Linked DNA regions of Saccharomyces cerevisiae S288C. Changing the gene in region 4 together with the main gene of any one other region gives a genetic interaction. Each region holds a gene or a part of one and is shown on either strand. Other genes may lie near its edges.

Region 1 (8,299 bases), on a different chromosome or scaffold from region 4:
ATCAGGTGTTGTATACAAATAAACCAAGGTGAAGAACTGGGAGATATCTTATGTTTTTTACCGGGCCAAGAAGAGATTGACAAAGCAGTGACTATAATGGAGAAAATTGCAAAGTATGTTTCAGATGAGGCCCCAGTACCATTAATAGTTCCTTATCCTTTATATGCAGCTCTTCCCGCGGTCCAACAGTCCTTGGTCTTCGCTCCGATAAAGGGTTTCAAGAGAAAAGTCGTCTTTAGTACCAATATTGCAGAAACATCTGTTACCATATCCGGTGTTAAATTTGTCGTTGATTCTGGTCTTCGAAAAGTCAAAGTTTGGAGACATCAGCTGGGATTAGCCACTCTACTTACCGTACCCATTTCTCAGGCAAGTGCGATGCAGAGAAGTGGTCGTGCTGGTAGAGAAAGTGAAGGAAAGAGTTTCAGGCTTTATTGTGAGTCTGATTATGTGAAATTACCTAAACAAAGTGAACCTGAAATAGCCAGAAGTGACGTCACATCTCCTGTGTTAATGTTGAAGAGATATGGTGTTGATGACCTGCTAAACTGGACCTGGTTTGAGAACCCTGGAAAGGAAGCTATAGTAATGGGGCTTCAGGAACTTTATGAATTGGGTGCTCTTGACACTCGTGGAAAGATAACTAAACGGGGTCAACAAATGGCTCTGTTACCGCTACAACCGCATTTAAGTAGTGTCTTAATTAAAGCCAGTGAAGTCGGATGTTTGAGTCAGGTCATTGATATCGTCTCTTGCCTTAGTGTGGAAAATTTACTGTTGAATCCGTCACCAGAAGAAAGAGATGAGGTGAACGAGCGTCGTTTGTCCTTATGCAACGCTGGTAAAAGGTATGGTGACCTTATCATGCTGAAAGAGCTTTTTGATATCTATTTCTACGAACTAGGGAAAAGTCAAGATGCAAGCTCTGAAAGAAATGATTGGTGTAAAGGATTGTGTATTTCGATACGTGGGTTTAAAAATGTAATTCGTGTCAGAGACCAGTTAAGAGTTTATTGTAAGCGTTTGTTTTCTTCAATCAGTGAAGAGGATGAAGAATCCAAAAAGATTGGTGAAGATGGCGAGCTAATTTCGAAAATTTTAAAGTGTTTCTTAACTGGGTTTATCAAGAATACAGCTATAGGGATGCCAGACAGGTCTTATAGAACTGTTTCCACTGGAGAGCCGATAAGCATTCATCCATCATCTATGCTATTTATGAATAAAAGCTGCCCCGGTATAATGTACACGGAGTATGTCTTTACTACGAAGGGATATGCCAGAAATGTTAGTAGGATTGAACTTTCATGGTTACAAGAAGTTGTCACTAATGCAGCCGCTGTAGCAAAGCAAAAAGTTTCTGATTCAAAATAAGTCACCTACTCTTAGCGCATTTTTATTGTATATAAAGGCATTTAATGTAATTTATAGAGCATTATAAATCGTAACAACTACTGCAGTATGAGTTTCATGGATTCATTTCTCAATATCTTATGAATATACACAGGTATATATGTATATTCATGTTAAACGCCTTTCGAATTGTTCGTTGGCTTTTTTTGTGAAATTATCTCGGGAAAAGGGCGAAATTATATTATTTTGCCGTTGACATTTTGAAAAGGAATAAAAGATCATGAAAAAAATAAGAAAGGCAATTCGACGCATTTCTCTCAGCAAGCTATTCTTTACTTTTGAAGAACAAAATATTTTAGCAAAAAGGTTAAGACAATATAGTCGGAAGCAGTTCTGCGGGATCTGAAGGAATTGCGGAATAATGAGATTTCACGATAGTATACTTATCTTCTTTTCTTTGGCATCGCTTTATCAACATGTTCATGGTGCAAGACAAGTCGTTCGTCCAAAGGAGAAAATGACTACTTCAGAAGAAGTTAAACCTTGGTTACGTACGGTTTATGGAAGTCAAAAAGAATTAGTCACTCCTACGGTCATTGCCGGTGTCACTTTTTCTGAAAAACCAGAAGAAACACCAAATCCATTGAAACCTTGGGTATCTTTAGAGCATGATGGTAGGCCAAAAACCATTAAACCAGAAATCAACAAAGGTCGAACCAAGAAGGGAAGACCTGATTACTCAACTTACTTCAAAACGGTAAGTTCCCACACATATTCTTATGAAGAATTGAAGGCTCACAATATGGGCCCTAATGAAGTTTTTGTAGAAGAAGAGTATATTGATGAAGATGACACCTACGTCTCCCTGAATCCTATTGTCAGATGTACTCCTAATCTTTACTTCAATAAAGGTCTAGCAAAGGATATCCGCAGTGAGCCATTTTGTACCCCTTATGAGAATTCTAGATGGAAGGTTGACAAGACTTACTTCGTTACTTGGTATACAAGATTTTTTACAGATGAGAATTCCGGTAAAGTTGCTGATAAGGTTCGTGTTCATTTGTCCTATGTTAAAGAAAACCCCGTAGAGAAGGGCAATTATAAAAGAGATATCCCTGCAACTTTTTTCTCTTCCGAATGGATTGATAATGACAACGGTCTAATGCCGGTTGAGGTCAGAGATGAATGGCTGCAGGACCAATTTGATCGTAGGATCGTTGTATCAGTTCAGCCAATATACATATCAGATGAAGATTTCGATCCACTACAATACGGTATTTTATTATACATCACTAAGGGTTCAAAAGTGTTTAAGCCTACTAAGGAGCAACTGGCTTTAGACGATGCAGGTATAACAAATGATCAGTGGTATTATGTTGCATTATCTATCCCTACTGTCGTGGTGGTATTTTTCGTCTTCATGTACTTTTTCTTATATGTCAACGGGAAAAACAGAGATTTCACAGATGTTACTAGAAAAGCTTTAAACAAGAAACGCCGTGTTTTGGGTAAGTTCTCGGAGATGAAGAAATTCAAAAACATGAAAAATCACAAGTACACCGAATTGCCATCTTATAAGAAAACCAGTAAACAAAATTAGATTCCCTTCGAAGTATGCATTCACCCTTCCTCGAGAGGGCTGTTTTTATCTTCCGTCACACTAATAGAAAACCACTCTATCCAGTTTTTTTTGTTACTTAACTTATCTTAACTCGATATTGTATAAATACTGAAGTCCATATACTTCTTTTTTTCTCCTTTGGATAGTAAATACGGTAAATTAAAATTAGTGTAAACTGAACAATATTAACATATATAAATCATCTGTACGACAATTTGATACCAAATAAATAGAGAATGCATCAGCATCCTCCAGGGTTCAAAAGAAAACGCTGGATCTTGCTTCTTTTCCTTTGATTTCTCCTTATATCCATTTCTGTCTTGCAGCAACTTCACATATTTTTTCCAGTGTAATGACCCTTGGATCAGGCTTAAAATGACGCTCAACCACATTATCATCTCCTTCCACATTCCTGCTAAGTAAGCTTTCTTCGTCGCCCTCGCTATTGTCCACATTATCTTCATCTTCATCATCATCTCCGCCGACGTCTTCAATGTAGTAGAAAAAGGGTTCCAACACCAACATAATTTTCCAGAAGTTGTTCGTGCCACAATTAGCAAACAAGACATCTACAAGGGCAGGTAGGTATTCCAATTCAATGTACTCCTCTGCGCAACAAACAAATTCATCTAATTCGTAATCTTGCTCATCAGCAGATAATGTAGAATACATTTCTGATAACAACGTTAATTCTTTGCTAATTGTTTTTGGAATATCTTCTCGAGCTTGCCATAACAGCTTTTGCGCTCTTTCCAGTCTTTCTTGGCTAACGGCATCATCCTTGCTCTCTTTTTCGCCTTTATCACCTTGGACATTTTCGGAGTCTTGTAGAGAAGGCAAGAATCCGTTCTTTTCGCTTTTGACCATAAGCTCATTGTATTCGTTATAGAGGGAGATAATTTTCATCATAGGCTTGTATAATTGCTGACAGACTTTCATTTCCGAGTAAGGTACAATGACTTTTTCCAAATAGTGATTGATCAGTCCTTCCATGAAGTTTGCCCAAATTGACGAAAATACATAATCCTCGTCGTAAGTCGATTCCGTAAAATCTTGGTTGATGTTATGCTGTATGATTTGCTCTGTAAGAGTTGGGAAAAGGTTTTTATGGCTTTTGACCATTTCATCTCTCAAAGCAGTAGATCCAGCGCTATCTGCTCCTTTAGTAGAATTTTCCAAACTATTATCTGTTGAAGACGCCTCTGAGTTCTTTTCACCATCTGTCTTATCTAGCCAGTATTCCGGACCACCCTTTTCAGACAATGTCACCAATAAAAGGAAGAGTTTTACTTTAACCCACGGGTTTAGCGAGTTTACATAGGCGTCCGTAATTTTGCTAACATCGATATTTATTTTTCTATGGATGCATTTGATAAATTTTTCAATGTAATGTGATTTTTTCAATCCGTATTTTTCATTCAGATATCCAACCGAAGTGATTACGTCGTAATTTGTATTTTCCATGTTCGTATGCTTCAAAAAGTTGAATGTTAACTTTCGTCTATTTCCATAATGTCTTTCTCTTTTCTCCTCACCTTTCTTCTTTCTTCTAATCTTTTTTTCTTTTGAAGCACCCAATTTAAGACATCTTTTACAGGTACAGTCCTTTAACGATGGCTCGTTGGCCGCTTGCTTGGGCAATAAATCTTTAGCCATCTTCTTTGGCGCGCTATACTAGGCTTGATTTATAATGTTAGTTATTCCAAAAATGTGAAGGAAATTGATCAAGGCAAGCTCTAATGATGATTATTGACCCATGCAACAAAAAAAGTTTGAATTCTCTTAATTTTCCAGATCGCAAGTTAGTAGTCAATCTGCTAACTTTCGTTATATTTCAAAAAAGTAATTGTACAAAAAAAGTCACCAAAAACGAGGACTTTTTTCACTGCGTTAAAGATTAGATCTACATAATGAATACTCAATTCTTTACTTAATTTCGCTCTACAAAATAGACCATTTAGGAAAGTTGGGTTGCTTCCATCATGTCAAAGTCGTCCTCATCTATATAAGTACACAGAACAGTGCGATCGTTGAATTGCGTACCCGGCAATTCTTCCATTGCGTGTTTTGCTGCCTCCAAGGTCTTGAACTTGATATAAATATTACCGGCTCCGGAAGCCAAGTTTTCAAAATTAAGTCTGTAATCGACGCCGGGTTGGCATATTTTAATCGTATCTGCTCCCGCGATACTATACTTTAATGTTTCTTTAATTTCTGTGATAAAGGTTTCATCTTTCAAATCCAATGGATCAAGACAATTTAAGAGCAACAAAACTCTCGATTCAACACGAACAGATTGGGTAACCAGATTTGGCAGGCTTTGAAACGTAATCCATGAAGTAACTTGTGATATCTTTCCATCATTTGGCTTGAACCATTTGTATGGTTTTAATTTATCAAGAATATCCTGAGTGACGACTTCAAACGATAATAGAATACATTTAGTGAATTCGGATTCTTTGCCAGTGTTGTTTGTATTGGACGAACATTTGTAAAAAAGTGGCTTAGCGGTACCGTTTGTTACATTCAATGACGAAAAAAGCTCTTTCATTCTATAATCTTCACCCTCGCCTATATTTTCCAAATTTTCCAATGCAATTACCGTACCCCTGCAAAAATCGACCAGATGATCAAGTTGTTGAACATAATCATTAGGTCTTCTCCATTTTAAGTCGAAAGTACCAAGCTTCGCATTAAAGAATGATCGACAGGCCAAAACCATAGTGCTACAGATCTGAGAACTAAACTCAACAATAATATGGTCCGGCCTTCCTTCACCAATATAAAAGTTGGAAATTTTAAAGTCCTCCGCATTACTCTCAGTTTTCTGGAGACCTGAAATAAAATTTTCCAGCAAATCTTTCAATCTTGCTACAATGCTGGGGTCGCTGCTTTGAGACAAGCCCGAAATTACAAGCCTTGAATTTGCCTTGGATGAGGCCATGTTGTAGTAAGCCGGAGAATCGAATGATGAACCCGGGTACATTACATTTTGGGAATTATAGTTCATGTCATATTTATTAGTTTGCAACTGCCTTTTATCACGGTCGCCATTGAATTTAGAACCTTCGTTCTTCCTTTGGTAATTGAAACGATCGTAGTTTCCGTTTCCATTTCTTCCCCTTCTATCGAACCTTTCATTTCTTCCTCTTCTTTCATCCCGTTGCCTATTATAGGGATTGTTGTTCCATTGGGGCCCAGTATTGTGACTACTATACCGATTCTCCCTGTTATATGATCTTCCCGATGCATCCCGATAACTTTGACGATGAGGACCTGCCCTTGTTTGTTCATAAGTCGTTCGATTCGTGCTCATAGTAATTATTGACGATGGTCCTCTGTTATTAGAATGTGAAACGTTTCTACTTTTTGGCGCTTTCGGAAGCTCACCGTCACTTTTTTGCCTCTTAAAATGTGTATCTATAACTGCATTATCCGTGTTGAATCTTTTGTTCTCAATCGGCACAACATCCTTTTCTGATTTTCCTATAGACTCCATTATTTTGGATCTCAAATCCTCCAGTCTCTTTTCATCAGCCATCTCCGTGTGCTTGTTTTCTGTGTCAATTAACTTTCCTTTTCTACTTCTTTTATATTAGCATGTACAGTTTAATTTCTCATCTCGAATTTTTTCAGCACTTGCTAATTAGGCGCGCGCCTCAAATATATAATATCGAACACGCTGTTATAAAAGTGATCCATTCTACAGCGTAATATTAACAGTATCGCTCCTGCAGTATTCTGGCATTATTAGTGCAAATAAGTACGCATATTACCATGCGAAACGTTTTAAGGCTTTTATTTTTAACAGCTTTTGTTGCTATAGGGTCTTTAGCAGCCGTTTTAGGTGTTGATTACGGTCAGCAAAATATCAAGGCCATTGTGGTTTCTCCGCAAGCCCCATTAGAACTTGTGCTCACACCAGAGGCAAAACGGAAGGAGATATCTGGTCTTTCGATAAAAAGATTACCAGGTTATGGAAAGGATGATCCGAATGGGATTGAAAGAATCTACGGTTCCGCTGTTGGCAGTTTAGCAACAAGGTTTCCCCAAAACACATTGTTGCATTTGAAACCGCTACTTGGGAAATCACTAGAAGATGAAACCACTGTAACTTTGTATTCAAAACAACACCCCGGTTTAGAAATGGTATCAACAAATAGAAGTACCATAGCCTTTTTAGTTGATAATGTGGAATATCCATTGGAAGAGTTAGTGGCAATGAATGTCCAAGAGATTGCCAATAGAGCCAATTCACTGTTGAAGGATAGAGATGCAAGAACTGAGGACTTTGTAAACAAGATGAGTTTTACAATTCCTGACTTTTTTGACCAACATCAAAGGAAAGCACTTTTAGATGCCAGTTCAATAACCACAGGAATCGAAGAGACATATCTGGTTAGTGAAGGGATGTCTGTTGCAGTTAACTTTGTATTAAAGCAGCGCCAATTTCCACCAGGTGAACAGCAGCATTATATCGTATATGACATGGGGAGCGGTTCTATTAAGGCCTCAATGTTCTCTATATTGCAGCCGGAGGACACTACTCAGCCCGTTACAATAGAATTTGAAGGATATGGGTATAATCCACATCTAGGTGGTGCAAAGTTTACAATGGATATTGGCAGTTTGATAGAGAATAAGTTTTTGGAAACACACCCAGCCATAAGAACTGATGAATTGCACGCTAATCCCAAGGCCTTAGCAAAAATCAACCAAGCAGCAGAGAAGGCAAAGTTAATTTTAAGCGCCAATTCTGAGGCAAGTATTAACATAGAATCACTGATCAACGATATTGATTTCCGTACTTCTATAACTAGACAGGAATTCGAAGAATTTATTGCAGACTCGTTATTGGACATTGTCAAACCCATAAATGACGCTGTTACAAAACAATTCGGTGGCTATGGAACAAATTTACCTGAGATAAATGGGGTCATTTTGGCGGGAGGCTCTTCCCGAATTCCCATTGTGCAGGATCAATTAATCAAACTCGTATCCGAAGAAAAAGTGTTGAGAAATGTCAATGCTGATGAATCAGCTGTGAATGGTGTTGTTATGAGAGGGATCAAGTTATCTAATTCGTTTAAGACCAAGCCGTTAAATGTTGTTGACCGTTCTGTAAATACTTATTCATTCAAATTATCAAACGAATCTGAACTGTATGATGTGTTCACGCGCGGAAGTGCTTATCCAAACAAAACATCTATTTTGACAAACACGACTGATTCGATTCCTAATAATTTTACCATTGACTTATTTGAGAATGGTAAATTGTTCGAAACTATCACAGTTAATTCAGGAGCTATAAAGAATTCATATTCCTCT
Region 2 (8,549 bases), on a different chromosome or scaffold from region 4:
TATATTATTGAAACTTGCCTGAATATCTTCATATGTTATTTTTAGCGTTGCAATATTATTGATATTTTGAATACCGATAGCTGGAAGGAACGGTGGTGGAAGAGTGTTGTCATAAAGGTTGTATGGAAAACTGTGCCTGTCTGAGTAACTTGTGGAGTCTTCATCAAAAGACCCTTCTTTGAAACGATTGTAATAAAGTGTACCCAAGTTTTTTAACTTGTTTGGATAGTGTTTCTCAGTGAAAGCAAGAACCGACTGTGAACTTACATTAGGCAGGTCGTAGGCCGAATTTCTGCCGTTTTGGTAATGCATATACTGCTCTGGAAAAGAATGGGTGTTGCTTTCTTGTCCCTCCTCTTGCTTATTTTTTGTTCTCGCCGAATTTAGTAGTGTTTCCTGTAGTTTATATATCTGGGATTGAGTCTCTCTGTACGCCCTATTAGGATCTTGTTCGCTTACCGACATTTTTATCTTATATTGTATTGTTACTTCTCTCAAAAAAAAAACTGCGAGTAAATTTTCCCTTACCTTCGTACTAAAATACCGTTATTTGTCAAAACGCTGTCATGGAATTCTATAGCACTTGATGCCGGAATGGAGATGCTTATTCTTGTGTTCTACATTCATGAAGTGCTGATACTATATTTTGTTTTCCCGAACCTCTCCCCTTCTGGGCCCTTTTTCCATTATTCACAATATTTTCATACCTTTACCTCCGTACACCAATCTTTATTTTTACCCCCATACCTTTGTATTCTGAAATTGAGAAATGATTTGTGGTGCTTTTTTTTTTGGACAATCTGCCTTCGTGGACAGTTTTGAAACGCTAGGCGACAGTTTTGCAACGGAAGGAAGTGGGAGAGCCCAGAAAGGCTTTCTCTCGATGGTGGATCATTCTTGCGCAGGCGGAGGATGGGAAAGCTCCGTTCAGGTTTGCGGCTTTTCTTTCTGGCATTTTCGTTCTCCCAACTGCGCAGGCAGACATAGCTTGACTTTACTCATGCTCGCATTAGGCGGGTTGAATCTCATAGCTTGAAAGATAGTATTGAATTATATTGAAGATTTTATAACTAGTGATAATTTCATTCAAGTTTTAAAGAAAGAATTAATAAGCAAACAGAACTCAATCAAAGGAAAAATGGCCGGTTTGAAAGACGTTGTCACTCGTGAATACACCATTAACTTGCACAAAAGAGTATGTGAAAGAATAAAAATATAATGCCCAAGGGCTTGTCATCTGAATGGTTAATTAAGAAGATATTTCTATAGTCAAGGAATACAATATCAAGAATTTGTACCACAGAAACCTATCAACAAAGATCATTGATCAAGATATATTTTATAATACGGAATTTGAAGACCATAATCAATATTATAACATCCAAGAGGGGAAAGATACACTTCGGCTGGACTTAAAGAGCGATGAAGACAGAAATAGTTATCTTAAATAGTGGAATCCTAGATTTTAAGTCGACAATTATCCATATCCCAAGTTTGACTAAATATGAATCAGAACAAATTGGGTCTCCAATATACAAAACCATTCATCAAGATTACACTAATATTAAAATGAACAATCGTTACTAACAAAAAATTTACCATTTTATTTTTAATAGTTGCACGGTGTCTCCTTCAAGAAGAGAGCTCCAAGAGCTGTCAAGGAAATTAAGAAGTTCGCCAAGTTACACATGGGTACTGATGATGTCCGTCTAGCTCCAGAATTGAACCAAGCTATCTGGAAGAGAGGTGTCAAGGGTGTTGAATACAGATTAAGATTGAGAATTTCCAGAAAGAGAAACGAAGAAGAAGACGCCAAGAACCCATTGTTCTCCTACGTTGAACCTGTCTTAGTTGCTTCTGCCAAGGGTCTACAAACTGTTGTTGTCGAAGAAGATGCTTAAATCAATTAAATAAAAATAATACTCATTTTATATTAATAAATATAAAGTAAACATTTTCGATTTGTATAAATCTCTTGTACTCAAGCCAAGACTTCTGTATTCATTGAAGCGGGGCACTCAGATCAATTTTTATCAATGATATCATCTGCTACGCTTGTACAAAGGGTTACCTTCGAATTATTTAAAAGATGCAAGTCTACGTATAAGTGAAGGCGATAAAAATGGATAAATCAGTGTAACTATGACTATAAGGTTATGTTGGCCACTCATCACATTAAAAGACTCCCAATATTCTCCAACAGAAACGAAGTATACCGTGCGTCTGATTATGGTCCACCAGAACGATGAGATCATAAAGACACAAAGTAAATGAGAAGTTTTACAATATTGAAAAAATACTGTAAAAGGATGGTCTTAAAAAGTAGTTTTGAAGTACTTCTGTTCTTAATAGACCAACGGAAAATTAAAATCTTCATCATTAAAAGTCCATAATTCATTCGCTTTCAGCAAAACATAGAGCAGCAAGAAGCTAAAGAAATGACAAGAACTATCGGCAGAGTGAACTCACTATACCATTAATCTTATCACCCGTTTATAAATCTATTCTTGTCCTTTCCAGTTGATATGATTCTGCTATTATCCTTGTTCCCCCCAAGGACTGCAGTAGAAGAGTTATGTTACAAATGTTGATATATATATATATATATATATATATATATGTATGGACATTTGTGATGAAAATATATCTTGAACAAGCGCGATTAAGGTCATAATAAAAAATCACAGAAAATTTTTCAGGTCGCGGGCGTTCTCTCACCCGGCCGCCCAAAGTATTATATGAATCTTTAGGGCTTGTAGGAATTATCAGCATGATATGTACAATTAGAGTTTTTCTTTGGAAACATGCGACAGTAGACGTCACTCTTTGATTCAGAAGTTAGGCTAGGATGTACGCAAATAAAATAAAAGCAATGACAAAACTAGATTTACATATATTATATGTATATGTATGTGGAGGATATAACACAAACAGTGGAAAAGTGGTAGAATAATTAGTATTACAAGTGCACTGTCAATAAATCATTGGAACTGAATGCTTTGTTGCATGTAGGGCATTTTCTCATTCTCGCTGCCAATCGTTCCTTACAGCAATTCTCACAAAAGACATGGCCACAGGTTTTAATAGCCATGTTTTTCCAATTTTTAGAACACAGGGAACAATAAACAAGTGTACGGAAATTTGCTAGTTCTTCTACGAGTGCTTCATCGCTCGAGCCCTTATTTTTGTTGTTACCACGGAACAATGTATCATGTAGTTTTTCACACTTGGATTCTAGATGAGATGCCTTCTGCTTGAAGTGCTTCAATTCTATTTCTGTATCATTTAATTTAGTTTCTAGATGCGTCATATCTGCAATGCTTTTGTTACTTTCTTCTTGTAGCTTTTCTAATGACCTTTTCAGTTTAGTGGATGTATTATTTAAATCAATTATTTTTAGTGTCTCTGTTTTACTGGAATCAATTAACCTGCGTTCATTATTTTGAGAAAGATCCAGTTGTTTATGTAAATTTCCTATTTTTTGCTGTAGCAATCTATCAGAGTCCTTTAACTGTAGAATAAGCTCATTTGATTTACTGAGGCTTTTAGAAAGAGTTTTGATTTCAATTAAAATTGAATCTTTGGACCTCATCGCGGCAAAATATTTCTGATCAGCCTTAGTTTTTTCTACGGTAAGCTTGGATATAACAGATTCGTGATTAATAATCTCAGAGTACTTTTTATGAGTTAAGTCGGATAACTCTCTAAAACCCTTCTCTAAGTCTTGAATTTCCTTTATTAATGCATCTTGAGTCGACGAGGATTTTGTATCGTTTGATCTTTGATCAATTTTTGTCCATTGCTCCTTCAAAATATCAATTGCATGTTGTAAATCGCTCAACACTTCAGTCTTGGATTTTTCAGCTTCCAAAATGGCGATTTTGCTTAGTAAATCATCACGAGCCGTTCTTATTCTTACAACGTCCTTTTCCAATGAACTGTTCATTTCTACTAGGGAGTCGAGACTTTTCTGGAATTCTTCTCGGACCTTCTTCGTATATATTTCTTTCTCTTTGGCTAAAACTTGAAATTTTGATAAAAAGGAACTATTGATCTCAGATAATTCTGCGTTTTGTTCAGTCAAATGTTGAATTTTTGCTAACAGGGACTCATGGTCATATGACTTGAAATCTGGGTCTTGGTCTGCTGCTGCTATCTGTTGCTTTTTTAAATTGGATACCTCAGAACGTGTTTTGATGAGCTCTTCCTCGTTTTCCCTTCTGATATTTTCAAGGTCTTTTATAGTGGAACTCAAGGAGTTTATCTCTGCCCGTAAATCAGAAAATTTCAGATCCAATTCTAATTTTTCATTCTCAGCATCTTCTTTTCGTTCATCCTCCGCCTGCACAAGTTCATCACCTTTCTCGGATTTTTTGGATGTATTATCACCATTAATTGCAGAGGAGTCTTTATTTCCAGATTTTATATTGTTTTCATTAGATTCTTTTTCATCTTCCCGTAATTCCTTTACAGCATCAGTCTTATCTTCCTTAAAAACACGTTTTATAGTAAAGGATTCATCTCTATCATACTTGCGAATTATATTTGTATAATATTCCTTCAAAGCAGAAATCTCCTCTGTCAATTGCGAATTTTCATAAAAGAGCTCCTCTTTACTTTTCCGCAAGTTTTTTAACTCCGTTGTTAATTCTTGAATATGATCCGAAGCATTACTATTAGTATTACTATCTGTCGTGTTTGGCTTCCCATATTTAGTCAGTAGCTTCATGAAAGAATCACTGCGCTGAACTATCAACGTCTCATCGCCTTGGGCTATTTCCCTACATAGTTGCTTCTCGTTGGCGTCTGTGCAGAATGTTTCGATAAACCTAGCTAAAGTTACTATCAGCGCCATAATATTTGCCAACTTGCGGGAAACATCTATGCACTCCCTTCTTGAAAGTTCATATTGCTTTCGCAAGGCTTCAAAGTCGACTCTTCGACGATTTATACATCTAAACAAAGCTTCTTTTTGAAACGCTATCACATCAGATTGAGTAAGCGGTTCACTAGGATCGCTTAATTCTAGCTTGATCTTCTTAGTAGCAGGCTCGGCCGTCATATCTGATTATTATCAGCTAGCACGATTAGCATAAAAACGGTGAAAGCCCTTTCTATCTCTGTTAAAAACCTTGGGGCGCTCTCTGTTAGTTTACCGTTCAAACAACATCCATCCAACTTTTTTTAATCTTCTTCTTTTTTGTTTTTTCGCCTTCTTTAAGAAAGTTTCGTTGGATGTGATTATAATCACGTGATCAAATGCTTTTGTCACTTTTATATAATAACGATGGTTTGATCAAAGTACGATCAGTTGGTGCTTCATTTCAAAGTTAGAAGACATCCTTAGTGCCTATTGTCGATCTGCTCTTTCTTTTTGAATCCACTGAAATTAACGATCTCAGAATTTCACCAGTGATTTTCCCAATATTATCTTTCGTGGGTAGAGAAACAATTCTGAACTCGATTGTGCTTCGTATGCTATATACGCATTGTTGTAGCACTAAAGATCATATTGCTCATTAAGCATGGGTCCTGCCATACATAATCAACTATATGAATGTGGATTAAAGACTACGTCTCAAGATGGCTTCTTGATGGACAATTATGAAACTCAATTATTTCAATCGTTGAACAGGTTTATCAATTTCATAAACAATGCTAATCAGTCAGCTAGTAATAAAGAACAAAATACAAAATTTTGCAAATCCTCCTCAAATTTTTTACGCTTGAAACTACTAACGGTTCTAAGACAATGGTGTGATTCTTCACGAAGCAACTGTACACTGGAGGTTAGAGATGTTTTGACCCAATGGTGGGTCACACTTTTAAACTTTCTAAATTCTGACACCTCGCTTCAAATAGATACTGCCCTTGAATTGAGCTTGAGCATAGAACTAACTTCCGTGTGTCTCGAGTGCCTCAGCAAAATTATGACCATACTAATAATATTGCCTTTCCATTCATCCAGAGACATGGAAATATACTCACATCATCTTTTGCTGACCATTCATTGCATAACAAACAAGTTGATTTTGATTTCTAAAAACTCCAAAAAACTTAAACGTACAAATAGTGATGACAAGTGCTCTATAAACGACAAGAAGCTGCAATACCTTAACAAATATTCTTCCTTGCTGCGAGCATTCATCGGGAAGTTAAATGCTTACGCATTTTTTTATCTACCAGAAGACTTTCATTTCGATACAATTTTGTTATTGACAGTTTCTCCTCAAATCTCTTCAAGTATTCAAACATCTTTGTTTTCATGGAAGAAGAGACAATATAAATTCACCGACGATCAGGGACAAATGATCCGCACTGAAGCTTTTGAAAATAAAGATACTAAATTTTTTAAGATCATTGTTTCTTATATTAAAAATGATTTTGTACTTATGTCATTTTATTGGCACTATTGGTATATCATACTTCAATTTATGAAATTCTCTGATTCAGATGTAGGAATTAAAAAATCGACATTGTCATGCATACCTGGCTCAGAAATTTTATTGACGCATGTAACCACTAGATTCTTGAATTCAGATTTGAATAAATTCACGCGGATTATTAAACAAACGCCGAATCCAAGGATAGCAAATGAGAATGTGACAGAGTCACATCCAAATTTCAAGAGTTTGAATAGTAGCAATGCTTTAATTACATCTGAAAGGATTAATGATTACGTATTTTCTAATTTTAAGACAATCAAATTATGGGAATGTCTTAGAAGCCTTTCAGGATGCATTCTTAAAGAAAATCATCCGGAATACCTGGAAAATATGCTTTCCTTACATGAGTCTCTATTGATAGACTATGTCTCCACTATTTCAGCGTACGATTATATTGCAGCGAACGTCATTTACAATAAGGTTCTCCAGTTTATTATTTTCCAGTTTGAAAGTTTACCTTCTCTGAAATTCATTCAATGGAGGTCGTGGTACAATGGGCTTTTGAGTATGTTAAGGACCAAAAATGTTAACTGCCAGACTGTTTCTTTATTATGCCTTTTCAATATTTGGAAGCACGTAACCATTGAGGACCGCGATGAAATAGTAAAAGTGCTGTTAAGTGATTTTTGGGAGTCATTGATTTTTGAAAACGAATTTCCTTTGATTAGAATTTTATTTATGAAGGTATTAGTTTTTAAAATCATTCCAAGTGTTCAAAATTCTTCTTCATTACGATTCTTGCCACATGATAGAATTAAACAACTATATGAAGAGCTACTGGTAAACAAGGAGGAGTTATTTGAGATGCAAAAACACGATTCAAATGATATAGTGGCGCATAGAAAGAATGCTCTCGTTTTTAATGGTAACTCACGTTTGATGATGATTCCAAAAAAACCAAATACAGAGGACCACTTAGTTTATAAGATTAATCATGATAAAAATTTAACTACAGAAAGATTTCCCTCTGTCAGCTCAGTGGCAAATACAAGACCTAACGTTATCTTGAAAAATGGTAAATACGCTTATGATATTTTGGACGAAATGACAAGTAAAGCTGCCTTTCTTCTTGCAGAAAAGAAGACCCGACTAAATCCCAAAAAAAATCACAAAATTATGGATGGCTACGAAGGAGGTCAGGAAAACGAAGATAATGATGAAGACTCAGAAGATAGTGGCTCGCATAAAAATAAGAGAAAGGAAGGTAATAGTTCTTTATCGGCAACACTGAACACTTGGCTTTCAAAATTTTCAAGTACTTCTGAAGATTCACAGAAGAAGAAGGAACAGGCAAATGAATTAGGCAACGATTTTGAATATGATGAAGATGTGGCTGATTTTGCAGAAATTTTGCCGAAGCAGTCATCTAGTAATATTGAAAAAATTTTTAAGCATGGTAACAATTCAGGATCAATGGTATCATATAATTCAAGTATCAAGCTCAATAGGAGGGAGAATATATTGATAGGTCCACCAGAGTTGAGATTTTCTAATGAAATCAAGGAACACAATAGTATTGCTACAATATTCAAACTGGTATTTATTCAAACCAATAGAAGAGTCGTCGAAAAAATAGATTTGGCGAACATGAAATGGGGGACAATCCACGGAGGCAGTAAGTACATGAAGCCTTTACCCGTCCCGAAAGATTTGGTTGCGAGTGTTGCTAAGAACGAAAGTGAGACGAGAAACTTAGCTACCTTATGCGGTAATGGTCTAGATTTTGAGATACCGGTGCCTGATTTTAATATTTTTGGCAAATGTATGGAAGATGAGCAAGATGTAGCCAAAATTGGTAATCAGAATGTGGAAGATTTGAAAGTTACTGGGGGGCGGGAGGTGACAATTTGGAAGCAGATCCAAGATATGAAGTTGAGAACAAGGATACAAAAAATCTGTGTTTTAATTGAGACGTTCAATGCTACAGTAAGAGAATATTTTGAGTTTTCCAATCGATTAGAGCATGACGGTATATTTATAGATTTTGAAGTGAGGAAACCTAGTAGTAATAATTCTATTAATATCAAAGTCTGAATAATAGAATGAGTTACATACGTAAACGTGTAGTATTATTATTATTATTCTATTTCCTTTCCGTTTTTA
Region 3 (8,615 bases), on a different chromosome or scaffold from region 4:
TTTCAGAAAAGCAAGAATTATTTATGCTTTCGCAAAAATTTCGCATATAAGTTATTTTTGAAATAGCAGTCGATACCAAATTAGCTGTAGAACCTCAACCTCCTCATACAATGGCTTACGTTTTAACTGAAACTTCAGCTGGTTATGCTCTTTTAAAAGCTTCCGATAAGAAAATCTACAAATCTTCAAGCTTAATTCAAGACTTGGATAGCTCTGACAAAGTCTTGAAGGAATTCAAGATCGCCGCCTTTTCCAAGTTCAACTCTGCAGCTAACGCTTTAGAGGAAGCCAACTCCATTATTGAAGGTAAAGTTTCTTCCCAATTAGAAAAACTTCTGGAAGAAATTAAAAAGGACAAGAAGTCGACCTTGATTGTTAGTGAAACTAAACTGGCAAACGCTATTAATAAGTTGGGATTGAACTTCAATGTTGTTTCCGATGCTGTAACCTTAGATATCTATAGAGCTATCAAAGAATATTTGCCAGAATTGCTGCCAGGTATGTCTGATAATGATCTAAGCAAGATGTCTTTGGGTTTAGCTCATTCCATCGGTCGTCACAAATTAAAATTTTCTGCTGACAAAGTTGATGTTATGATTATTCAAGCAATTGCTTTATTGGATGATTTAGATAAAGAATTAAACACATATGCCATGAGATGTAAAGAATGGTACGGGTGGCACTTTCCTGAGTTAGCTAAGATTGTTACTGATTCCGTCGCTTATGCGAGAATTATTCTAACAATGGGTATCAGATCCAAGGCTTCTGAAACAGATTTGAGTGAAATCTTACCAGAAGAGATTGAAGAACGTGTCAAAACCGCTGCTGAAGTGTCTATGGGTACTGAAATCACTCAAACCGATCTAGACAACATTAATGCTTTAGCTGAACAAATAGTCGAATTTGCCGCTTACAGAGAACAGTTGTCCAATTACTTGTCTGCAAGAATGAAGGCTATTGCTCCAAACTTGACTCAGTTGGTTGGTGAATTAGTTGGTGCTAGACTTATCGCTCATTCAGGTTCCTTAATTTCCTTGGCCAAATCACCAGCTTCTACCATCCAAATATTAGGTGCCGAAAAGGCTTTATTCAGAGCTTTAAAGACCAAGCATGATACACCAAAGTATGGTTTGCTATATCATGCCTCTCTTGTTGGTCAAGCTACTGGTAAGAACAAAGGTAAGATTGCAAGAGTTCTGGCTGCTAAGGCCGCTGTCTCATTGCGTTATGATGCTTTAGCTGAAGATAGAGACGATTCAGGTGACATTGGTCTAGAATCAAGAGCCAAAGTAGAAAATAGATTATCCCAATTAGAAGGTAGAGATTTAAGAACTACTCCAAAGGTTGTTCGTGAGGCTAAGAAGGTGGAAATGACTGAAGCTAGGGCCTACAATGCAGATGCTGATACCGCAAAGGCTGCTTCTGATTCTGAATCCGATTCTGATGATGAAGAGGAAGAAAAGAAAGAAAAGAAAGAAAAGAAGAGAAAGAGAGACGATGATGAAGATTCCAAGGATTCTAAAAAAGCTAAGAAGGAAAAGAAGGACAAGAAGGAAAAGAAGGAAAAGAAGGAAAAGAAGGAGAAGAAAGAGAAGAAAGAGAAGAAGGAAAAGAAGTCCAAGAAAGAGAAGAAAGAGAAGAAATAAGGATGCATTTTACATTTTAATAATTAGTGACCCCTCGCGTTCCCTTTTATTTGGATTTAGAAAATTTTCTATAATTATCCAATGCTTAACCTATTTCTCATTTCATATTTTATTCCATAATCTGTAAATTAGTGCTGTACGCCCATATTGAATTGAACTTATTATTTTTTTTAGGTGATATATTTGAAATAGTATACATAATTTATGTTTACATAGTTTTAGGTACTTTATATCATTAAAAGTTTTGTTTAACCTTTAAAAAATTTGTACCATTAGCAGTTATAGGTATTCATATCGTGAACTGCGCAACTTAAAATTATTCGCGGGACGAAAAAGATATACAAAATTTTTGAAAGTGAGCAAAGGATGAGATGGTGCAATCGTTACTATTTGATATTAATAAAAAGGCAATCATCACATCAACCCTTAATTAATTTATGAACAAAACGGAAAACCTTTCTATTGAGGAGACAAATGAAATAAGGGAAAAGCTGGGTATGAAACCTATTCCAGTTTTTCAAGAAAAGAATACAGACCATAAAGAGTCTTTGTCAATCGAAGAGACGAATGAGTTGAGGGCGTCCCTTGGCCTAAAACTTATCCCACCCCAACAAAATTTCAATTCTTCTCCCCCTAATGTACATAACACATCCAAAATCGATGAACTTCGAGAGAAGATAACAAAGTTTCAAAAAAAGGCGAACGCTCCTTTACGAATGGCGCACCTTCTCGAAGAAACTAATGTAAATGACGACAGTTCATGGCTAGAAAACATGGATGCAATTCCTTCCTCACATGAATCCAAACGTTCCAGCACATTGCCAAGAAAAGGCGCCACGAAGGAAGACGAAAATATTGATCTGCATAATGTTCAAGTATCATATAATATCGAGGCGCTTAGCCCAAAGAAAGATACGATTCTAACTTTGAAAGAGAGCAGTATTTTTGATGATACTGATTCTACCGAAGTGTTAGAGAATGTGAAAGCTGCCGAGGAAAACGCTGATAGAGAGAAACTACGATTACGACAAATGAATAAAGATAGAAGACAAAAAAAAAAAATTTTAAATGTATCTAGCTTAGATATTGAAGAAGAAGAAGAAGGAGAGAAACACTCAATTACAACTACACATCTAATCATCGGAGCAGAACAGGGTGTTATGAAGGCACCGAATACTATATCAGCAAAACCACCAACGGGAAAAGTTAAAGTGAATTTCGATAGCGCAAATAATATGTCAGATGAAGATGGTGGAGACTTTAAACCTTTAAAAATTAAAAAACGTAAGATCAAGGACCCAAGATCTACTAAAGCTAGGAAGTCAAAAATTACTGATAAGATGGAAATTGTTAAGTTAGTAGATGAAGATGAAAGTTTATCCTGGATGGAAGAAGAACAGCCAGTCACCATAATAAATCCCAGAACAAGCTCAAACAATGAATTGAAAGGGCCAGAGGACCTCGCTAGAGAAATTGAAAAGGCAAGAGACGAAGAGAAGCGACGCACTGAAAGCATTTTGAAAATGCGTGAAATTTCCAACAGTATTGTCGTCGACGAAAAGGTAACTTTTTTAAATACTTTGGATACCAGTCTCTCCGAACGAAGTGCTACTGAGAATAAAGTGAAAGTGCATGGTGAAGGAGAGAAAAATATCGGAGATGTTACCAATGGACATACTAAGGAAGGGAGTGGAAACAATACACTGACTGAAGCAGTTAATAATGAACCAAACTACGAGGGAGATGCTGAAAATGCACCGAACTTTTTTTCTGGTCTTGCATCAACACTAGGATATCTTCGGAAAAAGAGTGTTTTCACCACAGGAGACGTCGATTTGAAACCAGGAAAGGATGTTAATAATAGTGAATCACTTCGAAGGGATGTCCGAAATAAAGAGCATACGGGCACTGGCACTTATACAAAAGATAAGCTACACGGACTGGAACAATTCACATCTAGTGACTCTTCCAATGCAAATACTCATTCAAAAAGACAAGATCATTATGATCCTGACATAAAACTGGTTTACAGAGACGAAAAGGGAAATCGACTGACTACTAAGGAGGCATATAAAAAACTGTCACAGAAATTTCATGGTACAAAAAGCAACAAGAAAAAGAGAGCAAAAATGAAATCCAGAATTGAAGCAAGGAAAAATACCCCTGAAAATGGTAGTTTGTTTGAATTTGATGACAATTAACCTAATCAGCAAATTCTACTAGCCCCAGCTTTTAATATTCAATATCTTGTTTTTCTCAAGTTTGAAACCTGTGTATAATTGTATTTGGTGTATAAGGCTACGTGGTGGCCTTGAATTCGGAAGTACTTTTCAAACATTAATATTCTGTGATATACATTTGTAAAGACCTTTTGCGTTGTGCCTGAATCTCAAGCCATTGTGTCATTTCACAGCGAAGTGTCATTGTTTTAAGCGATAGAAGCTTGGCGCAACGATCGGATAAAAAAAATTGAAAAAAAAAAAAAATTGAAATGAAAATAAAAACAATCAGATATTCAAAAAATTGAATATCTGTATTCATAAAGAGGAGAAAAAAGAATAAAGAAAAAAAAGAAAAGAACATTAGACTACACGTGCAGCATATACCAACTATTTTTATTATATGCTTATATATGCAAAGCTTACGATATTTAGAGAGTAAGTGGATTGACGATAAAAGTGTTTAATAAGGAGCCATTCGTTTTTATAAAGGAGAAACAATACCGGCCTAACATGATTCAAACGCAAAGTACAGCGATCAAACGACGTAATTCTGTTCATAAAAACCTCTTTGATCCATCACTGTATCAAATACCAGAACCACCACGTGGGGGGTTCCAACACCAAAAAAAAGAATACAGTAAGGAGACATTCAGTAATCAAGTCTTTGGATATGATATTACTAGCCTTAAAAAAAGATTCACGCAACTATTTCCTAGTAATATACAAGGGTACTTACCTGAAGTTGACCTAAGAATAACCATTATTTGTTCTATATGGTACGTCACGTCATCTATTTCAAGTAACCTATCTAAAGCCATTTTAAGAACTTTCAACCATCCCATAGCTCTCACAGAATTGCAATTTCTTGTTAGTGCTGTTCTATGTGTTGGATTTGCTTCCATCGTAAATTTATTCCGACTACCTCGTTTGAAGCATACGAAGTTTTCAAAGGCACTCAATAGTTTCCCTGACGGTATCCTTCCTGAATATCTCGATGGCAATTTCAGGAGTTCTATCCTGCACAAGTTTTTAGTTCCCTCAAAGCTGGTTTTGATGACCACTTTCCCTATGGGAATATTCCAATTTATTGGTCATATCACATCGCACAAGGCGGTATCTATGATACCAGTATCACTAGTGCATTCCGTGAAGGCATTATCCCCAATAATAACAGTTGGCTACTATAAATTTTTCGAACATCGTTATTACAATTCCATGACTTATTATACCTTGTTACTTTTAATTTTTGGCGTTATGACTACTTGCTGGTCAACACATGGCAGTAAGAGGGCTTCAGATAACAAAAGCGGATCTTCATTAATCGGGTTGCTTTTTGCCTTTATTTCCATGATAATATTTGTAGCACAGAATATTTTTGCAAAGAATATTTTAACCATCAGAAGGAAGGTAGGAATACTGCCGTCTTCTTCTACGGATGACGTCACGTCGAAGGAAGGGCAACCGAGTCTAGACAAAACAAGATTTTCTCCATTGCAAGTGGATAAGATTACCATATTGTTCTACTGCTCCTGCATTGGGTTTTCTTTAACCCTATTACCTTTTTTAACCGGCGAATTAATGCATGGCGGTAGCGTTATCAACGATTTAACGCTAGAAACAGTAGCCCTTGTAGCGATTCATGGAATAGCCCATTTTTTCCAAGCAATGCTTGCTTTCCAGTTGATCGGTTTACTATCTTCCATTAATTATTCGGTAGCAAACATCATGAAGAGGATTGTTGTTATATCCGTGGCACTCTTTTGGGAAACAAAGTTAAATTTTTTTCAGGTGTTTGGTGTTATCTTGACAATTGCCGGATTGTACGGTTATGACAAATGGGGGCTTTCCAAAAAAGATGGACGTCAGGCATAATATGAAGTAATACTATTGAGTACAAACCATCATTCAAGGTAGGACACTTAGTACTATATCAAATATATAATCAAAAAAAAAACCCTCGAAGGTCTTTTTTATCTTATTTACTGCTACTACCTCTGTTGCTAGCATTACTTCAAGATCCTAAACTGTTACCCCACCCCCGCACCATATCAAGGTTAAAAATCCGATGTGGCGGTACTTATTTGGTTATTTATCTCATTTACATTAATATGCGTACGGGAATGGCCTTCCGCTCCGTGGAGGATAAAGTGCGGTCATTTTATTATTTTTCGAAAACAATGGCTACAATCCCTTGATTATCTCACATGCGATTACAAAGCAAAAGAGAAGATTCGCATGCAGGAGCCATACACGCGTCTTTTTTAAGGTATTTCCACGATCTCGCGGAAAAACTTATAGAACGAACAACTATTGCTTTAACTAGGAAAGAATAAGAAAAAATAGCGATCATACTAGAACCCACAGTCGAGGCACAAGGATTTTGAGGATTGCTCTACCCCTAATGCCTATTGCTTCGATTGCTGAAAGCGGATCTACTCCTTTTTCCAAGTACTCGAAAGGTTGAGAGAAATAAAAATAGACTAGTCGACGGACAATGCCAATAAAGTTTGGTTATACGAACTGCTTTAACCAAATTAATATTGGACAGACTCCGTGTTTTTTGGTTTTGCCCTTTTTTCCCGCTAGAACGACATTGTGTTTCTCCAAAATTATTCCATCTTTTCCCTCGTGTTAACAATAGAGTCACAACGCACCTGTTATTATGATCTCGGGGGTGGCTTCCCGAACATCGTCGGTTGAATACTGCGCTTTGGCGTCCGAAAAAGAAAAGATAGGAAAGGATCGAATTTTTGACATTTTTCTCAACCTGCTGCGCGCTGTTCTATAGACGTTTGAGGCACCTGAAAAAGAAATACAGCGGAATAATTACTGTTCTGCTGAATCGCCCTAGGCGGTATTGTATGAGGCTAATAATAGAGAGACATCTCTGAAAAGAAACTAGAGGAAAATTTTTCAAAAATATCTATTTTGCTCAGAGAAATGAATATAATAAAGAAGCTATTTGGTTAGATCTCCCAGTAGTTACGGGGACTAGATATATAAACTGCTTGATGTACGTTTGGAAATTCTCAAATAGCAATTCTCTCTTCAAAGTTAGTGAAGGATAGGTTATATCTGTAAAAACATACTAAGATCTGAATAACTAAGATCACGGGGGCATACTATCGATTAAAAAGCTCTGATTTTACTATAGATTAAAAAGAAAAATAATGAGCTCAGACAGTTTAACGCCTAAAGACACTATAGTTCCAGAAGAACAAACCAACCAACTGCGGCAACCTGATTTAGATGAGGATAGCATACATTATGATCCAGAAGCTGATGATTTAGAGTCATTAGAGACTACTGCCTCTTACGCGTCAACGTCGGTGTCGGCAAAGGTGTATACCAAGAAGGAAGTAAATAAAGGAACTGACATTGAAAGCCAACCACATTGGGGTGAAAATACCTCGAGCACGCACGACAGTGACAAAGAAGAAGATTCCAATGAAGAAATTGAAAGCTTCCCGGAGGGTGGATTCAAGGCTTGGGTTGTGACATTTGGTTGCTTCTTGGGTCTAATTGCATGCTTTGGTTTATTAAACTCAACGGGGGTCATAGAAAGTCATCTACAGGACAATCAATTATCCAGTGAAAGTGTTTCTACCATTGGTTGGCTGTTTTCTTTGTTTCTTTTTGTTTGCTCTGCCTCATGTATCATTAGTGGTACTTACTTTGATAGAAATGGATTTAGGACAATTATGATTGTGGGCACGGTTTTTCATGTAGCCGGTCTGTTCGCTACCGCCAACTCTACTAAATATTGGCACTTCATACTGTCCTTTGCCATTGTCTGCGGGTTCGGTAATGGTATTGTACTGAGTCCCCTAGTAAGTGTTCCCGCCCACTATTTTTTTAAGAGACGTGGTACTGCATTGGCAATGGCCACTATTGGTGGTAGTGTGGGTGGCGTCGTTTTCCCAATTATGTTGCGTAGTTTCTTCTCTATGAAGTCAGACACTGATCCAACTTATGGATTTGTTTGGGGCATTAGAACTTTAGGATTTTTAGATTTGGCTTTGCTAACTCTGTCAATCATTTTAGTCAAAGAGAGGTTACCACATGTTATCGAAAATTCCAAAGATGGTGAGTCACGTTGGAGATACATACTCAGAGTTTATATTCTGCAATGTTTTGATGCGAAGGCTTTCCTGGATATGAAATATCTTTTTTGTGTCCTGGGAACGGTATTTAGTGAGTTATCCATTAATTCAGCTCTTACTTATTATGGATCATACGCCACCAGCCATGGAATTTCTGCTAATGACGCCTACACCTTGATTATGATTATAAATGTCTGCGGCATACCCGGGAGATGGGTTCCTGGCTATTTGAGCGATAAGTTCGGTAGGTTTAACGTCGCAATTGCAACTCTACTCACTCTATTTATCGTCATGTTTGTTGGTTGGTTACCATTTGGTACCAATTTGACAAATATGTACGTTATTAGTGCCCTATATGGATTTTGTTCTGGAAGCGTTTTCTCCTTACTTCCTGTTTGCTGTGGCCAGATATCTAAAACGGAAGAGTTCGGTAAACGTTACTCTACAATGTACTTCGTTGTCGGTTTCGGTACTTTAGTCGGCATTCCGATAACAGGTGCCATTATCTCTATCAAGACAACGGCCGATTACCAACACTATATTATTTTTTGCGGTTTGGCAACTTTTGTAAGCGCTGTTTGCTACATAATTTCGAGAGCATACTGTGTTGGCTTCAAGTGGGTCAGATTTTAAAAAGTAAGACA
Region 4 (4,617 bases):
GCTTACTTTAGTTCTAAGCTCATCGCATATTTCAAAAATTTTCATTACCGTACAGAGATATATTATTTTGATGCGGGTAACTATTAGCCGCTGAAATAATATTTTCTTTTTTTTTTTTTCTTTTGGCTTTGAAATTTTTCACTTTTAGTCATCGCTATAGTTCGAGAAATTTGAAATACAAGAAGTACTAAAAAAATAATAAAGGACAATAAAGTGCTAGTAAATAACAATTATAAGTGATATCAAGGATGTCTGAAGAGAATTTGAGGCCTGCCTATGACGATCAAGTTAATGAGGATGTCTACAAGAGAGGCGCTCAGAGCAAATTGACCAAAGCTCGTAAGGCAGACTTCGACGATGAAAAGGACAAAAAAAAGGATAATGACAAACACATAGATAAAAGACCAAAAAGCGGTCCTCGTTTGGATGAAAATGGCAATCCACTTCCCAAGGAGCCTCGTCTCCCAAAGAGAAAGGTGGCTGTTATGGTTGGTTACTGTGGTACTGGCTACCATGGTATGCAATATAATCCACCAAATCCAACCATCGAGTCTGCCCTATTCAAAGCATTTGTTGAAGCAGGTGCTATTTCCAAGGACAACTCCAACGATTTGAAAAAGAATGGATTCATGAGAGCTGCAAGAACTGATAAGGGTGTCCATGCTGGAGGTAATTTAATATCATTGAAAATGATTATTGAAGATCCTGATATCAAGCAGAAGATCAACGAAAAGTTACCGGAAGGGATAAGGGTATGGGATATCGAGCGTGTGAACAAGGCGTTTGATTGTAGAAAAATGTGCAGTTCACGTTGGTACGAATACTTATTACCAACTTATTCACTCATTGGCCCCAAACCTGGTTCTATACTTTATAGAGACATCGAAGAAAGTAAAACAGAATTACCTGGTGTATTAGATGAAGATTTGGAATCCAAAGAATTTTGGGAAGAGTTTAAAAAAGATGCGAATGAAAAATTTTCAACAGAAGAAATCGAAGCTATATTAGCATATGTTCCGCCCGCAAGAGATGAATTTGATATAAATGAAGAACTATACCAGAAGGTAAAAAAGTACAAGCAATTAGAAAATGCTCACCGTAGAAGATATCGTATATCCGCGGCAAAACTGGCCAAATTCCGTGCTTCTACAAGTCAATACCTTGGCGCTCATAACTTCCATAATTTTACATTAGGCAAGGACTTCAAAGAACCAAGTGCCATTCGATTTATGAAAGATATAAAAGTATCTGATCCATTTGTTATTGGCGATGCCCAAACAGAATGGATTTCCATCAAGATTCACGGCCAGTCTTTCATGCTACATCAAATTCGTAAGATGGTATCAATGGCAACCTTAATTACCCGTTGTGGTTGCCCCGTCGAACGCATTAGTCAGGCTTACGGACAGCAGAAGATTAATATTCCGAAGGCACCTGCATTAGGATTATTGTTAGAAGCTCCAGTATTTGAAGGTTATAATAAAAGACTAGAACAGTTTGGTTACAAGGCGATCGATTTTTCCAAATATCAAGACGAAGTGGATAAGTTCAAAATGAAGCATATCTACGATAAGATCTACAAGGAAGAGGTGGACGAAAATGTTTTTAATGCGTTCTTTAGTTATATTGATAGTTTCAACAAGGTTACTGGAGCACAGGGAGAAGAAACTGCCGATAAATCGGGACCTGCTGTGCAAAAGAGTATCTTCGAATTCTTGACAGCTAAGGGTATCCCAGGTCTTACTGATGCGCCCGAGAGCAATAAGAAGATTAAGCAAAGAAAAAGAATGGAAGAGGAGGAAGCTGCTAGTAAAAAGGCTGAAATATCCAGCACCACTCAGAGCAACGAACCTGAAGTACAACCGGAAGCGGCAGCTAATTAGGTTGCCCTTTCCTTCTTTCTTACCAACTTTAATTTCTAAGGCATTGACATTGAAATTGACATTGTCCTCTAATGTTTATAGAGCACCATTATTTGTTTTCGTTTTATATATTATTATATAATGGCACAGAATAATTTATAATTCTTTTTTTTTAAGTCATTGAACAGTCGCACTAACCAAAAGATTAAACACCACCAGAGAGTAGTTTTTCCAGCCTGGCAATCTCTTCTAAAGAAGTAGCTTCTGCTAACTGCTTTTTCAATTCATTTCTTCTCTCTACTGTCATCTTACTCACCACCAAATTCATGATCTCCATCGTTTTATCTCTGGATCCATTATCTCTTATTGCAGTATTTACTGGGCCCAACGTATCGCCGTCCGCCTGCCTTGGAAAGCTCATTGCGCTCTTTCTTTCCTCAGCTGTTACGTTTTGAAAGTCTAAAGTCTCTAAATGCGGTACTAATCGAAGTACATGTTCTCTATAATTGGCTAAATGACATACTTGATTCCCTATTAAAGTTAGATTCTTCAACGTCCTGGGCGCTCTACGCAACCTTTGAAGATCTTCAAACCTTCTTATGCTGTTATTCGATAATGTAAGGTTCTGTACATTCATAGGCAATAGGCGACCGTCTACTTCAACGATATTGTTTCGGCCCAACAGTAATGTATGTATATCGTCTCTTCTTGATAGATCTGGAATCATGATAAGGTCATTGTTTGTCAAATCCAAGATGTGCGTAGGTTTGGTCAAATGCTTTAAGCTGGATGGCATGGATTCTGAATCCGTTTCTAGCTGCAGGTCTCTTAAAATAACACATTTATCCACGTTATACTTGCCATTAAAATGATCAACATAATATTGCGGAGCATCAATAACTATGCTAGGGGTGAACTTCATTATTGCTTATAAAAACTGATATTTTCCAAGTCCTGTAGTTTCACTTCGACCTGTTGAAGGCTTGTTGGATGCAGAGTATGCGATTGGCCTAATATAAGTAAATGTCATCTATGATAAGAAAAAGACTAATAGGGCTTTTTCCTATAATTAACTAGGGTCTGTCGAAAATCAACTTTGAAAACCAGGAACAAAAAAAAGATAGATAAGGTTTATTTCACTCTTTTAGGGCAACATAATTTATGCATATTATAGGAAAAAGGCAATCGTAAGAACCTATTTAGCAGGTGTAACAAAATCAATACTACATATATTTATAGCGGCAACGCATCCATTTACTTGTGGAAGCGCCTAGTTTTCGATCTAACCATGGTTCTCAAGACCAAATCACTCTGAAGCTAAATTATTTAAATCAAACAGCGGAAATGGTATTTACTAAGGAAGAAGTTGATTACTCATTATATCTGGTTACAGATTCTACCATGCTTCCACCGGGAACTACTTTATGTTCTCAGGTTGAAGCTGGGTTGAAAAATGGTGTAACGCTAGTTCAAATCCGTGAAAAGGATATTGAAACAAAAAATTTCGTTGCAGAGGCTTTAGAAGTTCAAAAAATATGTAAGAAGTACAATGTTCCACTTATTATCAATGACCGTATAGACGTCGCTATGGCAATTGACGCCGATGGGGTTCATGTGGGCCAGGACGATATGCCAATCCCAATGGTAAGAAAACTTTTGGGCCCTTCTAAAATTCTTGGATGGAGTGTTGGTAAACCTTCGGAGGTAGAGACATTGGCTAAATGGGGGCCAGATATGGTAGATTATATTGGTGTTGGTACTCTTTTCCCTACATCAACAAAGAAAAATCCTAAGAAATCACCCATGGGTCCTCAAGGCGCCATTGCCATTTTGGATGCTTTGGAGGAATTTAAAGCTACATGGTGTAGAACCGTTGGTATTGGTGGTCTTCATCCTGACAATATTCAACGTGTGCTTTGTCAATGTGTTGCTTCAAATGGAAAGAGATCGTTGGATGGTATCTCTCTAGTCAGCGATATTATGGCCGCTCCAGATGCATGTGCAGCAACCAAGAGGTTGAGAGGCTTGTTAGATGCTACCAGATACCAATTTGTTGAGTGCGAGTTAAATAATACATTTCCGACCACAACTTCAATTCAAAACGTTATATCTCAAGTATCAAACAATCGTCCATTAGTGCAACATATCACCAATAAGGTTCATCAAAATTTTGGTGCCAATGTCACTCTAGCTTTAGGCTCATCTCCTATCATGTCTGAAATTGAAAGTGAAGTATCTGAACTAGCAAGAATCCCAAATGCTTCTTTACTGTTAAATACCGGATCAGTGGCACCTATTGAAATGCTAAAAGCCGCAATTAATGCTTATAATGAAGTAAATAGACCCATCACCTTTGACCCGGTCGGGTACAGCGCCACTGAAACAAGGCTCTGTCTAAACAACACTTTGCTCACTTACGGCCAATTTGCTTGTATAAAGGGCAATTGCAGTGAAATACTGTCTCTAGCCAAGTTAAATAACCATAAAATGAAGGGCGTCGACTCTAGCAGCGGCAAAACGAACATCGACACACTTGTGCGCGCTACACAAATTGTGGCATTCCAATACAGGACTGTTGCTGTTTGCACGGGTGAGTTTGATTGCGTTGCTGATGGTACTTTTGGAGGCGAATACAAACTTTCATCAGGAACAGAAGGAATAACCGCTGAAGATCTTCCATGTGTAATAATTGAAGATGGCCCAATTCCTATCATGGGTGACATCACTGCAAGTGGATGTTCACTTGGTTCTACAA

What was found.
Region 1: mutations in LEA1 (region 4) and MUD2 together harm fitness more than expected from each alone (negative genetic interaction), as found in Saccharomyces cerevisiae (5 studies listed by BioGRID).
Region 2: mutations in LEA1 (region 4) and BRE1 impair growth when combined (synthetic growth defect), as found in Saccharomyces cerevisiae (6 studies listed by BioGRID, with this or other methods).
Region 3: mutations in LEA1 (region 4) and SNU66 together harm fitness more than expected from each alone (negative genetic interaction), as found in Saccharomyces cerevisiae (4 studies listed by BioGRID, with this or other methods).

The regions. Positions count from the first base shown.
Region 1 is NC_001143.9:289,682-297,980, forward strand, and holds MUD2 (Mud2p), read right to left. Parts: upstream 6,513-8,299; coding exon 4,929-6,512; downstream 1-4,928. Other genes in the region: DHR2 (RNA helicase), read left to right, coding at 1-1,371; PSG1 (Psg1p), read left to right, coding at 1,772-2,950; AAN1 (Aan1p), read right to left, coding at 3,275-4,627; Hsp70 family chaperone LHS1, read left to right, coding at 6,749-8,299. UniProt on the Saccharomyces cerevisiae protein: Splicing factor that contacts pre-mRNA directly and is a component of the pre-mRNA-U1 snRNP complex (commitment complex 2) that forms during early spliceosome assembly in yeast extracts.
Region 2 is NC_001136.10:321,088-329,636, forward strand, and holds BRE1 (E3 ubiquitin-protein ligase BRE1), read right to left. Parts: upstream 5,063-8,549; coding exon 2,960-5,062; downstream 1-2,959. Other genes in the region: RXT3 (Rxt3p), read right to left, coding at 1-465; 60S ribosomal protein eL31 RPL31A, read left to right, coding at 1,139-1,195, 1,617-1,901; AHK1 (Ahk1p), read left to right, coding at 5,526-8,480. UniProt on the Saccharomyces cerevisiae protein: E3 ubiquitin-protein ligase that mediates monoubiquitination of histone H2B to form H2BK123ub1 in association with the E2 enzyme RAD6/UBC2.
Region 3 is NC_001147.6:889,856-898,470, reverse strand, and holds SNU66 (U4/U6-U5 snRNP complex subunit SNU66), read left to right. Parts: upstream 1-2,083; coding exon 2,084-3,847; downstream 3,848-8,615. Other genes in the region: RNA-processing protein NOP58, read left to right, coding at 111-1,646; SLY41 (Sly41p), read left to right, coding at 4,379-5,740; MCH5 (riboflavin transporter), read left to right, coding at 7,039-8,604. UniProt on the Saccharomyces cerevisiae protein: Component of the U4/U6.U5 tri-snRNP particle, one of the building blocks of the spliceosome. Required for pre-mRNA splicing.
Region 4 is NC_001148.4:148,781-153,397, reverse strand, and holds LEA1 (U2 snRNP complex subunit LEA1), read right to left. Parts: upstream 2,785-4,617; coding exon 2,068-2,784; downstream 1-2,067. Other genes in the region: pseudouridine synthase PUS1, read left to right, coding at 249-1,883; THI6 (bifunctional hydroxyethylthiazole kinase/thiamine-phosphate diphosphorylase), read left to right, coding at 3,207-4,617. UniProt on the Saccharomyces cerevisiae protein: Involved in pre-mRNA splicing. Associates to U2 snRNA in a MSL1 dependent manner and is required for normal accumulation of U2 snRNA. Required for the spliceosome assembly and the efficient addition of U2 snRNP onto the pre-mRNA.